Linked DNA regions of Drosophila melanogaster. The protein of the gene in region 2 interacts with the protein of the main gene of each other region in a pairwise test. Each region holds a gene or a part of one and is shown on either strand. Other genes may lie near its edges.

Evidence for each region.
Region 1: the proteins of Taf12L (region 2) and tbrd-1 interact in a two-hybrid assay, tested with the Drosophila melanogaster proteins (one study listed by BioGRID).
Region 3: the proteins of Taf12L (region 2) and tbrd-3 interact in a two-hybrid assay, tested with the Drosophila melanogaster proteins (one study listed by BioGRID).

What each region holds. Positions count from the first base shown.
Region 1 is NT_033777.3:23,891,097-23,895,548, forward strand, and holds tbrd-1 (testis-specifically expressed bromodomain containing protein-1), read right to left. Parts: upstream 2,465-4,452; 5' UTR 2,255-2,464; intron 2,194-2,254; 5' UTR 2,157-2,193; coding exon 615-2,156; 3' UTR 501-614; downstream 1-500. Other genes in the region: sba (six-banded), read right to left, coding at 3,912-4,401.
Region 2 is NT_033779.5:4,699,895-4,703,950, reverse strand, and holds Taf12L (TBP-associated factor 30kD subunit alpha-2), read left to right. Parts: upstream 1-2,465; 5' UTR 2,466-2,482; coding exon 2,483-2,674; intron 2,675-2,734; coding exon 2,735-2,959; 3' UTR 2,960-3,116; downstream 3,117-4,056.
Region 3 is NT_033778.4:23,326,239-23,329,420, reverse strand, and holds tbrd-3 (testis-specifically expressed bromodomain containing protein-3), read left to right. Parts: upstream 1-1,839; 5' UTR 1,840-1,864; coding exon 1,865-2,671; 3' UTR 2,672-2,682; downstream 2,683-3,182. Other genes in the region: CG9861 (uncharacterized protein), read right to left, coding at 2,708-2,959, 3,018-3,182.

The sequences.
Region 1 (4,452 bases), on a different chromosome or scaffold from region 2:
TGTTATAGGGCTGCCAGATTGCAAGACGACTGGTCACCTTAGCTCTGCGTAGTTGCAATGTCAACCGAGAGGTGGCACCTTGGTGCTTGACTGTTTTATTTTGAATTTAAAAACAATAGAAAATGGTATAGTCGAGTTCCCCGACTATCAGATACCCGTTACTCAGCTAGTGGGAATGCCAAAGGGAACATTTCATCATTTTTCTGGGATATCGATAGATACTGGGGAATAAAATAGTCGTGACCGTTTTGGGCGTATTGTAGCAAAAGGAGGCGCGTGGCTAGTGTTTTTTTTTGCACGAAGAAAAATCTAAGCATTTTTCAAAAGTGTGGGCGTGGCAAAATGAGATCAATACAGACGGACATGGCCAGATCGACTCGGCTATTGATCCTGATCAAAAATGTATAGACAAATGTATATGATCGCAATCGCTTCCTTCTGCCTGTTCCATACTTTTCAACGCATCTAGTAATACAGGTATAATTAAACTATGAGAATGTCGGTAGCTCGTAATTAGAATCATATTTTAGGCTAATAACAATTCTTTATGAATAATAATTATAATAATTTGCATTTTCATTTTTTTTCATTTCCGTGGTAGAATTCTACACACTTTAATCGCTATCATAAGTTTGGTCATCCAGCGGCTCCGTACCAGGTGAAAATTCTTGTACATCCTGGGGCTCCATTTTGTACACTCGCTGTTCTTGCACAAACAGGGACTCCGTTTTAATAATAAATGGCTTTGGAACCCATCCTTTGAAATTCTTATTAGCGTTTTCTTGTTTAATGAGCAGGTTTTGTGAGTCACGAAAATCTTGTTCCCTGCTGGCCACCAGTTGACGCCCCTTTTCCTTGGCCGTGGCAATTAACTCCCTGTACTTGGGCAGCCTTTTCTCAAAGATCTCATTGGTTTTCTTCACCGAAACCTTGACCAATCCATCTTCCGGAAAGCAACGCAATGCGTTCTGGAACATCTTTCGTACAGAGCTCACGAATCCATCAAAGCTCTCAAAGTTATCGGAGTCCAAGCGCTCCTGTAGTATCTTCCAATCGAGTTTCTCTTCGCGATCGTGGTCGTAGTCCGGATTCTGGGAGTACCTTCGCCAGTAGTCAGCCTGATTAAATGCCCATGTAACCTGCTTGCGCTTTCGCTTTACCATCGACTTCAGAAGATGATCTGAGTGGCTTTTTTCAATCATTCGGTCGAGAGACTTGTAGCAGATGATAATGGGTGGATTGGGAGCCGGAGGAGGCGATGAAGCTGGAGATTCAACTGGTGCTGGGGTTGGCCAAGGCAAAGTCATGGGTTCCATTGGAGGGGACGGTAAGGGTGCTGCCAAGGAATCCAAGGGACGATAGGAAATTGGCTCTGAGGGCGGTGGATCCATTGCTTCATTTGTCTCCCAATTATTCTTGAATATCGGATTCATCATTGATGACATTGGATGCATAGATTGCATGGGATTCACCAAGGAATCGGGCATAAAAGATGGGATCAAGCTGGGACCCACGAAATTTCGGAATGAAGGATTAAATGACGACACCCCGCCAGGCATCGGTGGGGGACAGAGCCATGAGGAACTACTCGAGAGCCACTGTCTAGAATAATTGTTAGATGCTCGAGGTGCTGAGAACGAAGTCGAGGCTTGATCCAATGATTCAGTAGCCTTTCTCTTGCGCTTTTCCGACTTCGGCTTTAGTTCCACCTCCGTGCTCAAATCAATGGACTCCATTCGCATGTAAAAGGCCTCCATTAGAAGCTTCCCTGCCTGATAAACCGGTGAGCCCTCCAAATTGTACAACAAGCAGTTATCGAATATCAGCTTGAAATCCTCCAGAGCCTCGCTCGCCTGCCAGTAGTATTTGTTGTGCAGTCGCTTCCTAATTGTACTCAAGTCCATCGGATGCTTGACCACCGCATGGTAGTCGGGCACACCCAGGCTCACAGAATCGACGGGATGGCGAAAGTGATACGAGAAGCGATTGCGCCATAAGCAATTCAGCACGGACTTGAGCTCTTCTAGGATGTTTGTCCTTCGCCCAGGACGATTCGGTGGCGGAATCACCGGCGGTTGCACGATGCCATTCACCGGCTGCAGATACGGCTCATTGCGCGGCGGAGGCTGGTTGCTATTCGACTGCAGTTCATTCATTGCTGGTTTGTAAGGTCACCCAACTCCTAATATTAGCCTAAAGCAGTTTTTTTTTTTTTTGGTATTTAGGAAGAATGTGAACTATTTCAAATGCTTACTTTTTGAACAACTCAAAATTCACAGCTCCTTTCGGCTCGGAATACAGAACTTTACTGAACTTCTTTTCGTCAAACACTAATAATTACCTCTTGACACTAGAGTCTATGGTGATGTGATTTACATTTATTGTATGTAAGTCTCCGTTGGGAGTAGTAGAAAATAAAAAATGACCAGACGGATTTTGTCACTGACTTTTTTGTGCTACGTTGGGTCTGTCAAAATTTGTGACATTCACAGTGAGCTTACATTCGATAGCTAGCAATCGTCTAGTATGAGTGATAATACTCCTTTCTAAGGTGCAACTTCAGGGACCTTGGTAGTTGTTGCCACCGCAGATATGCCAAAAAAAAGTTTCCCATGGTTGCTCGGCTGGATCATCACAGCTCTAGTGGGAATCAAACGAAGTGGTTTTGTGGTGGCACCTTGATAAGTTATCAGGTGGTTTTAACGGCTACTCACTGCTTCTACTCAGATGTGTAAGTACAACCAAAGACACTAGAATAATTCTATTCTATTATTCTAGTGTCTTTGGTACAACTTACCAACTTACAAGTTACGGTTGGATGCAAACGAGGATGTGCCGGAAGGCTATAAGGCGGAGTCCCAGTTGTGTGTTGGATCTCCGGACCATAAGGACACATGCAATGGTGACTCGGGAGGTCCTCTGCTGGTTCGTCACATCGGGATCGGATGCTAGTATCAAGTCATGGGAATAACTTCAGTGGGAATCGCGTGTGGAACTCCGAACATTCCCAGTTTGTATACAAGGGTGTATTTCTTTAGAGATTGGGTCAAGCGGGCCATGAATCAAAGAGTTATCTTGTTTTTTAAATTTTTATTTGCTCCGTGTGTTTCCGCTAAGTGTGATTTCATTTTTGTTTTACAATTATAATTTTACAATAGTTTCAACTAAATAAATAATAACAATTTATAAATATAATTTTTTTCCACCCTTCCTAATTTTCTCATGATTTTTACCTTTTTGTGTTTGACATAAATAATTTGTTCTTCTAGAGTTTAAAAAACAATTTGTGCAATCACAATAAATGAAAATCAGTAGCTGTTTTTGATTTGATATCATTTGCTTGACAAGGCAAATGTAATTGTTGTGGATGTTCTTTAAACTTAGTGGCTAAGTATCAGCTTAGGTTACCTATTTATACAAATAATCGGTAGGTCTATAAATTGCAACGAAAACAAAACCTATAAAAACCAAGGATCTATATGCAATAAATAAATACTTAATACGAAACATCTTGGTAGCTTTTGGTGCTTACTATATACAAAACAACGCAAATTTGCGCCGAGGCGCTGTCTATGAAGCCAAAAACCTATCGCTAATTGTTAGAACTGCTCTTTGTAACTTGATTTTCATTAACATCATCTTGCTGTTTTATTGTCTATTTCGAAAGTGTGGCGCGCGCCGCCCAGCGACGCAACTAAGCGGGGAGTCTGTCAAAGAATACAAAACAACAAACTCCAAAGCTGAGGCCTGACACCTAACACTAAACTCTATACTCGTATCGTCACATATGTATGGATAACTCTATATATATGGCCTGGCGGTATGTATCCTCCTGCTGCCCACTACTTATGCCCGATAACGAGGGTGTAGCTGGCTGTGCTCACTGTCGACGATAACGTCGACAGCGCTGGTCATTTGGCCAGCTTCAGGATCTCGGAACGGGCCGATGTTGTCGCTGTCCCGGTTCCAGTTGAAGCTGCTGCAGCTCCAGCTGCTGCTATCGTCCCAATGTTGCCTGTGCCCGTTGTGGCCACCGGTGGAGCCGGAGCAATGCGTATGGGCTTGGCTCGCTGCTGATTGAAGAGGCCACTCAATGTGGCCGCCGTACTGGTGGTCAGCACCATGCTGGCCCCACTTGTGTTGGCCTGGCGCTTGCTCCGCGCGAGTCCATTTATTTTGTTGTTCGTTGAAGAGGGCGATTGCTGCTGCTGTTGCTGCTGCTGCTGCTGCTGATACTGCTGTTGTCCGCCAATTACAGCTGGTCCTGCTGATGCGGGAACAGCAGAGATGGTTGCGGATGACGAGGATGTGGCTGCGGGTGTCGAGGAGGCTGAAATGTTATCCAACTCAGTCATTGCTTCTTGTATGGCCCGCTCGAGCTGCGAGTTCAGTTTGCGGCTCCTTTGTGGTCGCATGGTGAGTGTGTATATGTGGTTGAGTTTTTGGTTGGTT
Region 2 (4,056 bases):
TATGCCGCGAAAGGATTAAGCAGCGATGCCGGCGACAAAATGGCGCGACGCCTATTAAAGGATTTCATCTCATGCCCGTCAACACCGTCGTCCCGTCGTCTGTTGCCCATTTTCGTTTTCATTTCCATTTTCATTCCTGTTGCTGCCGTGCGCTTCGCCGGCTAAGTGTAATTAAAAACTTAAATGGAGAAGGAATTTAAATGTGTTGCTTTTTGCATTTATGAAACATTAACGCAAATCTGTTGCAGATCGAGTTCTGTTTAATAGTCTGTGCGCTGAGGGCCCGATTTAAATTAATTTCGCATCTGCCACTGTGGCGTATACGCAATATCTGGCACAGCCACTGCGGAGGCGAAAAAGTACATCCTCCGTTAATAAAACGGGGCCTAAGAATGCGTGGCTGTTTCATTTGTGTGTGGGAAATCCTGAACAACAGAATGTCATAATCATGTGAAATAAAACCATTCCAAATGGCAGCCAGCCAGTAACTGCGAGTGCATAGAACATGCTGACTGGCTGAGAATTAGCCCCTCAGTCTCGACACTCTGCCAGACATGGCAGAAACTCATTAGCCTTATTACACAGACACCATTCTGCGGCTAAAACTGAGGGGGCGGAACCGGGCGTAGCCCCCACATGCGTATTAACTATTCATGCCCACACACACACTCATTCACTTTCTCTCGCGCCGCAAAGACATTTGAATAATTTTGACAAATGTGTGATTAATTCAAACATTTTGGCAACTAAGGCTGTCATTTTTTATGTGAGCACGACAGCAAATTAGCACTTCATATACAGGCACTGACTGGCATTCTCGTTACGGATATGATATGTGCCATTAGAACGCAACATGAAGGCTGAAACAACTTCTTTTTGAGTCGTGGTTTTATTAAAGGAAGGGAACAAGCATGTTGATTAAATTTAGAATAAAGAAAATGTGTAAAATATATATATTCGCCATAAGACTTAGATGACAATTAACCTTTCCGAACCAGCCAAGTCCTCTTCAAGTCCCCACAATGACTGCCTGATTGGGGCTTGGGCGATTAAAGACCCTGACAAAGTGAAATTTATGGCACTCAGCACACTTAAAGCTAAACGTCGGCCGTTTTTTGCTGCCTTACACTATGCATAAGGCCAGCGAGCAAAATATGAAACAGAAATCAGCCAGAGAAGGCAGAAATGAGCGGACAGGGGCAGAAAAGTGCACACAGCAAATAGAAGCGGCAATATAAAAGAGTCGCATGCCGGAAACGACAAACGACAGTCGGCGGTGGGAGGTAGAAAGAGGAAGCCTAATGCCAATGCCAAACACCGGATGCGGATGTGTGACACATGGCCGAAGGGGCGACCTGGCCACCCCATCATACCAATCCCTTTCCACCGACGACGACTGGCAACATACGCACAATGTCATTGTCGCTCGCTTTAAGTAGGCGACTTTATTAAGCCGAGGACACTGAGGAGCACCTCCAAAGTGGCAGGAGCGCAGCAAAGGCACATGGCACACCATTTTAGAATGACAAAAACGGGCACTGTGGCACCGGTTTAAGCATCTTAAATTTGAATATTAGTTATTATTAATTACAATATACAAGATCATGTTTTTTCCATTAGAAGTAGATGTGAATATTAAGAAGAGCTTCCTTTTTCAATGGTGTTTAAATTAAGATTATTTACGTTTAAGCCCCTCACTAGGCATATAAATTATAGCCGCACGTTTAAATCAGTTTTCCGAGTTGGCTTAAGTTGCAGCCTGAATTCTGAAACCCGAAGCTCCCAAGGTGGCCTTAAATTTGCGCGGTGCTTCGCTGAAGCGAAATTCCCACTGTGCATTAAGGGTTTGCAAAAAGAACAAACGGCATAATAGGCTGGCAGGACACCTGGGCACGTGTGTGCTGTTGTTTTGACTGGCCTTGCCAGTACTCACCTGGCATAAAATTAAGCCATGACGACGCGCTTGTCGCCTGGCCTGGCTTCTTATTCCGGGGCAAAGGTCGTTTACGGCACGGCCACAATTTGTTGCTTTTTGATATTTATTTAGACGGCGCTGGCGCATGAGAAGTGAAAAGCGCACAGCCCAGTCGGAACATAAATCAAAAGCAGAAGACGGCGGAAAAACCGTGAAGGAAAAGCCGCAGCGGAAAGGGTAAACGCTGCGGCAACAATGGAAATCGTTTTCAGCTGCAGAGCTTGCGACTTAAACTGGTTATTTATGGCAGGCCAAGGGCGAAGAGTTGAGGCTGCAAAGCCCAGCTGGGTTTTCCCGATCCAAACTATTGCCGGGTAAAAAATTGAGAGAAAGTGTAATGTCCCACGACACCAAGAAAAAACTTTTTGCTTTTTGAAGAAAGACACAGGACCCGAAAAGTATGCATTAGCTCACACCTTATGTTCCTATAATTTCCAACCAGTTCAAGCCACTTTCTTACCTAGTGCATGTGGCATTAACGGGAAAGGACATTAAATTAATTGAATCATGGATAGTAACATGGAACCTTGGTCCTTTGCCCTCAATTTCGATGACAGCGATAAATCGTCGGATAACGAGAGCCACTCTTCGACCAGATCCTCGAGCCGCTCCAGTGACACCAGCATAGACACCAGCTCCGTGGAGAAGGAGCCAGCTAGCGTAATTGAGAGCCAGTCTGTCCCTGGCGGAAGCTACGATGTACGTAACGACTTCCCCAATTAGGACGCATTAATCGATCCGTACTTTTCCCCCTATCAGATTATCTCCAAGACCAACATGCTGCAATTTGTGCAGAAAATCGATGCAAATTCATCGCTGGACGATCAAGGTTGCGATATGATGGCCAGAATAGCCGATGCCTTTGTTAACGACATATCCATGCGCATAGTTAAGTTGGCCAAGTATCGAAAGAGCGACGTTAGCGTGCTGGACCTGAAGTTCATCCTCAAGCGGGAGTTCAACATGGAGTTCCCAATTGAATAAATGTCCAATAAAGGGAAAAATAATGTAGAATTTGAAAATTGTGGAATGAATAAAATGTATGAATAACTTGGTTTAAAACTGTCAGAAAGGCAACAAGAATAATTGTTTTCTGCACCTAATTACCAATGTTAACCAGTGCAATTACTTTTTGGTCAATAAAAAAAATTTTATTTTTGGGTCAGTTTTGCATTTTTTATAAGGGGTACCATCATCAAAATTTGCAAAAATTGGCAAAAAATTAAAATTTCCAAATTGGAATGCCAATTGATTTGGGGATAAAATACAAGCTAAACGAGGTATGGCATTCCATATTTGGACAATTGTTTTAAGATTTATGATGAAAAAACTGAATATATTTGGGCGAAAAATCAAAAAGGTCTCTTTTGGCAAAAACGCAATATTTAAGAGTGGTATTTTCTTCACAACTCGCCTAAAAATAGTCAGATAAGTACAGGAATAACTGTTTTCTGCACCTAATTACCAATAGCAACAATTGCTATTACTTTTTGGTCAATAAAAAAAATTTTATTTTTGGGTCAGTTTTTGCATTTTTTATACCATCATCAAATTTTGCAAAAATTGGCAAAAAATTAAAATTGCCAAGTTTGAATGCCAATCGATTTGGGGATAAAATACAAGCTCAACGAGGTATGGCATTCCATATTTGGACAATTATTTTAAGTTTTATGATAAAAAAAAGGCCTCCTTTTAGACTGAAAAACGTGTTTTGCCAAAATATGGTTTCATCGTGAATTTAAAGAATACACAAAACTCGTGTTTAATACAAATTTGTTAGCTGACGAAAGAATTTTATTGAACATAATTGTGAATACCCATTGAGGTATCAATGAGAAAAGGTGCACGCCTGGTGATAAATTGCAAACCGGATCATCATGATTAAGCAATTAATAAATTCAATGGCCGCTGTCAAGAGCCGGACTCACATTCAATAGCCCCTGCAAAGCGGTCATCATGGTCTCGGCCACACTTTCCCGAGGACTTGACTCTCGCCCTTCAGCCGGGAATTACTCAACATAAAGTTAAAGTGCCATAAAAATGCCAGGGCGCATAATGCCACACACTCACACAGTGGCTGA
Region 3 (3,182 bases), on a different chromosome or scaffold from region 2:
TCGGGCGGTGCATAAGTAAATGCTATTAAGATACAATCGCGTACATACCTATAGGTATATATTTACACACATATATATCATATGCATGGCAGTATAAATCAACTGCGGCACAGCCATTCCACCGAAATGCGAAATCCGACTGCTGACAAGTGTCACCGGGAGATGCTATGACAAAGTGTCAAAAGAATGTTTGACATCTGACTGGCTGTCGCCGTCTCTTTCGCTCGAATAGCCCCCTCTCCATCGCTGTGCCGTGCGAGGGCAGCGTGTGTAGCCTGTCCAAATGTACATTTCTCATATCTCCTCGGCGTCCTCGTCTGCTGGTTCTTCCCTTCTTTCCATTTCTGCAGGGCTTTCATATTGCCGCCCTTTTTTTTATATTTATCCATATATTGCCCGGTTCCAATGGGATGCGGGATGGCCAGGTAGGGATTCGTTCGCAGGTGCGAGGCAAGTGGGTTTGGGGGAAAGGGATGTGCTTGCCACTGACAGCCTCACACGTTTCCTTTGCGTCCCCCTGGCGATCCTTTTAGCACCTGGCCCAGTCTCTGGGTGTATAATTTCATCTGCCAACTGATTGAGTGTCGCAGTTTTACTTATGTGAAAAACGAACAAGATTTTTATCTGGAAATCGGCAATAGAGAGCGGAATGTTTGCCGTGAAATGCGAAGTAAAGTTCTGCCCCGCTGACATATCGACAAGATCAAAGGGAATCGTGTGCTAAGGGCTCTCAGCTACACATATGCATAAAAATATCACTCATATCAATTTATTCTAGGTCTAGATGCCTCCAAAGCGAATGATCTTGCGAAAAAGTGGATATATGACAGATATAGGGTATAACTTTATCTATATTGTTATTTGGTATTTTTGATTATATATATTTTAAATATACTTTGAAGATTAATCTCTTTTTCTTTCGGTTTCGCAAACTCTATGTGTAAAGTCTCCAAACTTGGGGTTGAAGGTCAACATCCGAACCAGATGATGCCCAGAGGTGAATCCCCATTCGCAAGTGGGTCAGTGGAGTGCAATCCCAATTGACCCATTCGCAGGACCATTCCCCCAAAGGCCCAACAGCAGACTGAAGAGGCGCCCCAAGATGTGGCCAAGACCTGGTCCGATTGCCACCCAATTTGCAACATTTTGTGGCAGGTAAGTTAACAGCGAGAAAATGAAGGTCTCCGTAAATCGGTTGCTCTCAGTTGTGGATCGCAAGCTAACAGAGGGAGAGAGCCACAGGAACAGGATTTCCCCTCATGCCTGTGGAAGCCAACTTAACAGAGTGACTTTAAACAGGATTTCGATTTAACTTTTGTAAACCCAACTTGTTGACTGCCCAAATGAAAGCCCTGCAAATATTTGCCCAAAAATGATGTATATTGTGTGTCCTAACAAAACTTTTATGCTAACGAAATATTTCGGCACTCTAAAATAGCAAACGTCAGCGGTTGACCATAAATATTTTCGCCCCCACAGCTCGATGGGGATTTTAAATACGTTTACCGAAAAAAGGACTGTTTGTACGGGTCTCGGAATTAGATTAACCATCATAGCTTCAGGATTGAGGCAGAGCATTCCCACAAAGGACCGCACTCCCACACAAAATGTATGGAAATACTTTCCTGGCCGGAGCCACTTGCATAATTAACTGAATTTGTTTGTTGCCCCAAACCGCATTTGTGGATTGACTTTTCTGCTCGGATTGAGGTGGCAATCCTAAAAGTTTTCATAAGCTAAAAATATCATCGTACAGGGCAACCCGGAGTGTGAATATTGTCAGTTGTATTGCGTTCAAGTTGTCAAAACGATAGAAATTATAATAGAATTTTCCGATAGTCGATATCGAAGATATTTTTCTGAAATGGCTGCAAAACAAGAAACTGAACGGTCCTCGCCGGAAATTAATGCCTGCAAGGTGATTATTAAAAGGTTGTTTTCCAGTACCTATAAGAATATTGCTTGGGTTTTCTACGAGCCACTGGATCCGCAACTGCTGGGCCTCCACGATTACCATGAGATTGTCCGGGAACCCATGGATCTGTCCACCGTGAGGCATCGTTTGAATACGGGTTGCTATCTCAGTGCCGCGGATTTCGCCAAAGACATAAGGCTGATTTTCTACAACACCTATCTGTACACGAATCCCGATCACCTGTGCTACCACATGGCCAAACAGCTGCAGATCATCTTTGAGGAGATGTACTCCCAGGTGCAGCTCTACATCTGCTCCAGCGGCAGTAAAGTGCGTGCCGAGGAAGAGAGCTCCTCGGATGAATCGGACTCATCATCGCCGGAGGACGAGGTGAACGGCTCGGAGGTGTCCCCCTCCATAATGGGTGCGCCCCCCTCATGTACTCCAACCACCGAATGTACTCCGACCCCCGATTGGACTCCGCCGGCAACTTTGGAAACTTCGGAGCAGCAGGAGCCCTTTACAACCGAGGAGGACCTTGATCTGCACGCCAAGATTCAGCAGCTGGACGGCGAGGTGCTGCTCCACGTCATCCATTTCATTCAACGCATGGAGGGCGCCGAGTACTGCAACAAGGAGCTGGAGTTCGACATCTGCAAACTGAAGGTGCACACCAAACGCGGCATCCGTGATTATTTGGCCAGCAAGGGGTTCACCGGCAAAAGAGTGGCCCGCACCAAGCCCAAATATAATTGAGTTTCAGATTGAAAAAGAGTTTTAATTTATTGTAATCTAGTCCTTTTTGCCCAAAAGCTTCTCCTGCTCCTTTCTCTTGTCGCGCATGGAGCGGTAGTTCCGGAAATCCCCATTCCACGTCTTGTTACGCATGATCTCCAGCGGATTGGAAGCTATGTAAGCGAAAAAGGTCTTCCGAGGAGGTCCTCCGGGCACCAGATAGTTGCCCATGGCGTACCAGGCGGAGCTCACGATGCTTAGGTAGCGGGCATTCAACTGATCGTGATATGTTTGCTTAGCCAGGGCAGCCTGAAAAATATAGTTTTAGTATAGTAAAATATATGTACATATATATATATATATATACCGTATTCTTAATCTGCTTATAGAAGTTAAAGTTCTCCTTGGATCTGGGCAGGCGATCAATGCCCATAAGATCGGGACTGGCGGGACTGCTCTGGAGGATGGTGACCAGCTCGAATATCCTGCTCGACTCGGCTATACTCTCCTCGAGCTCCTTCTGGCTGTAGGT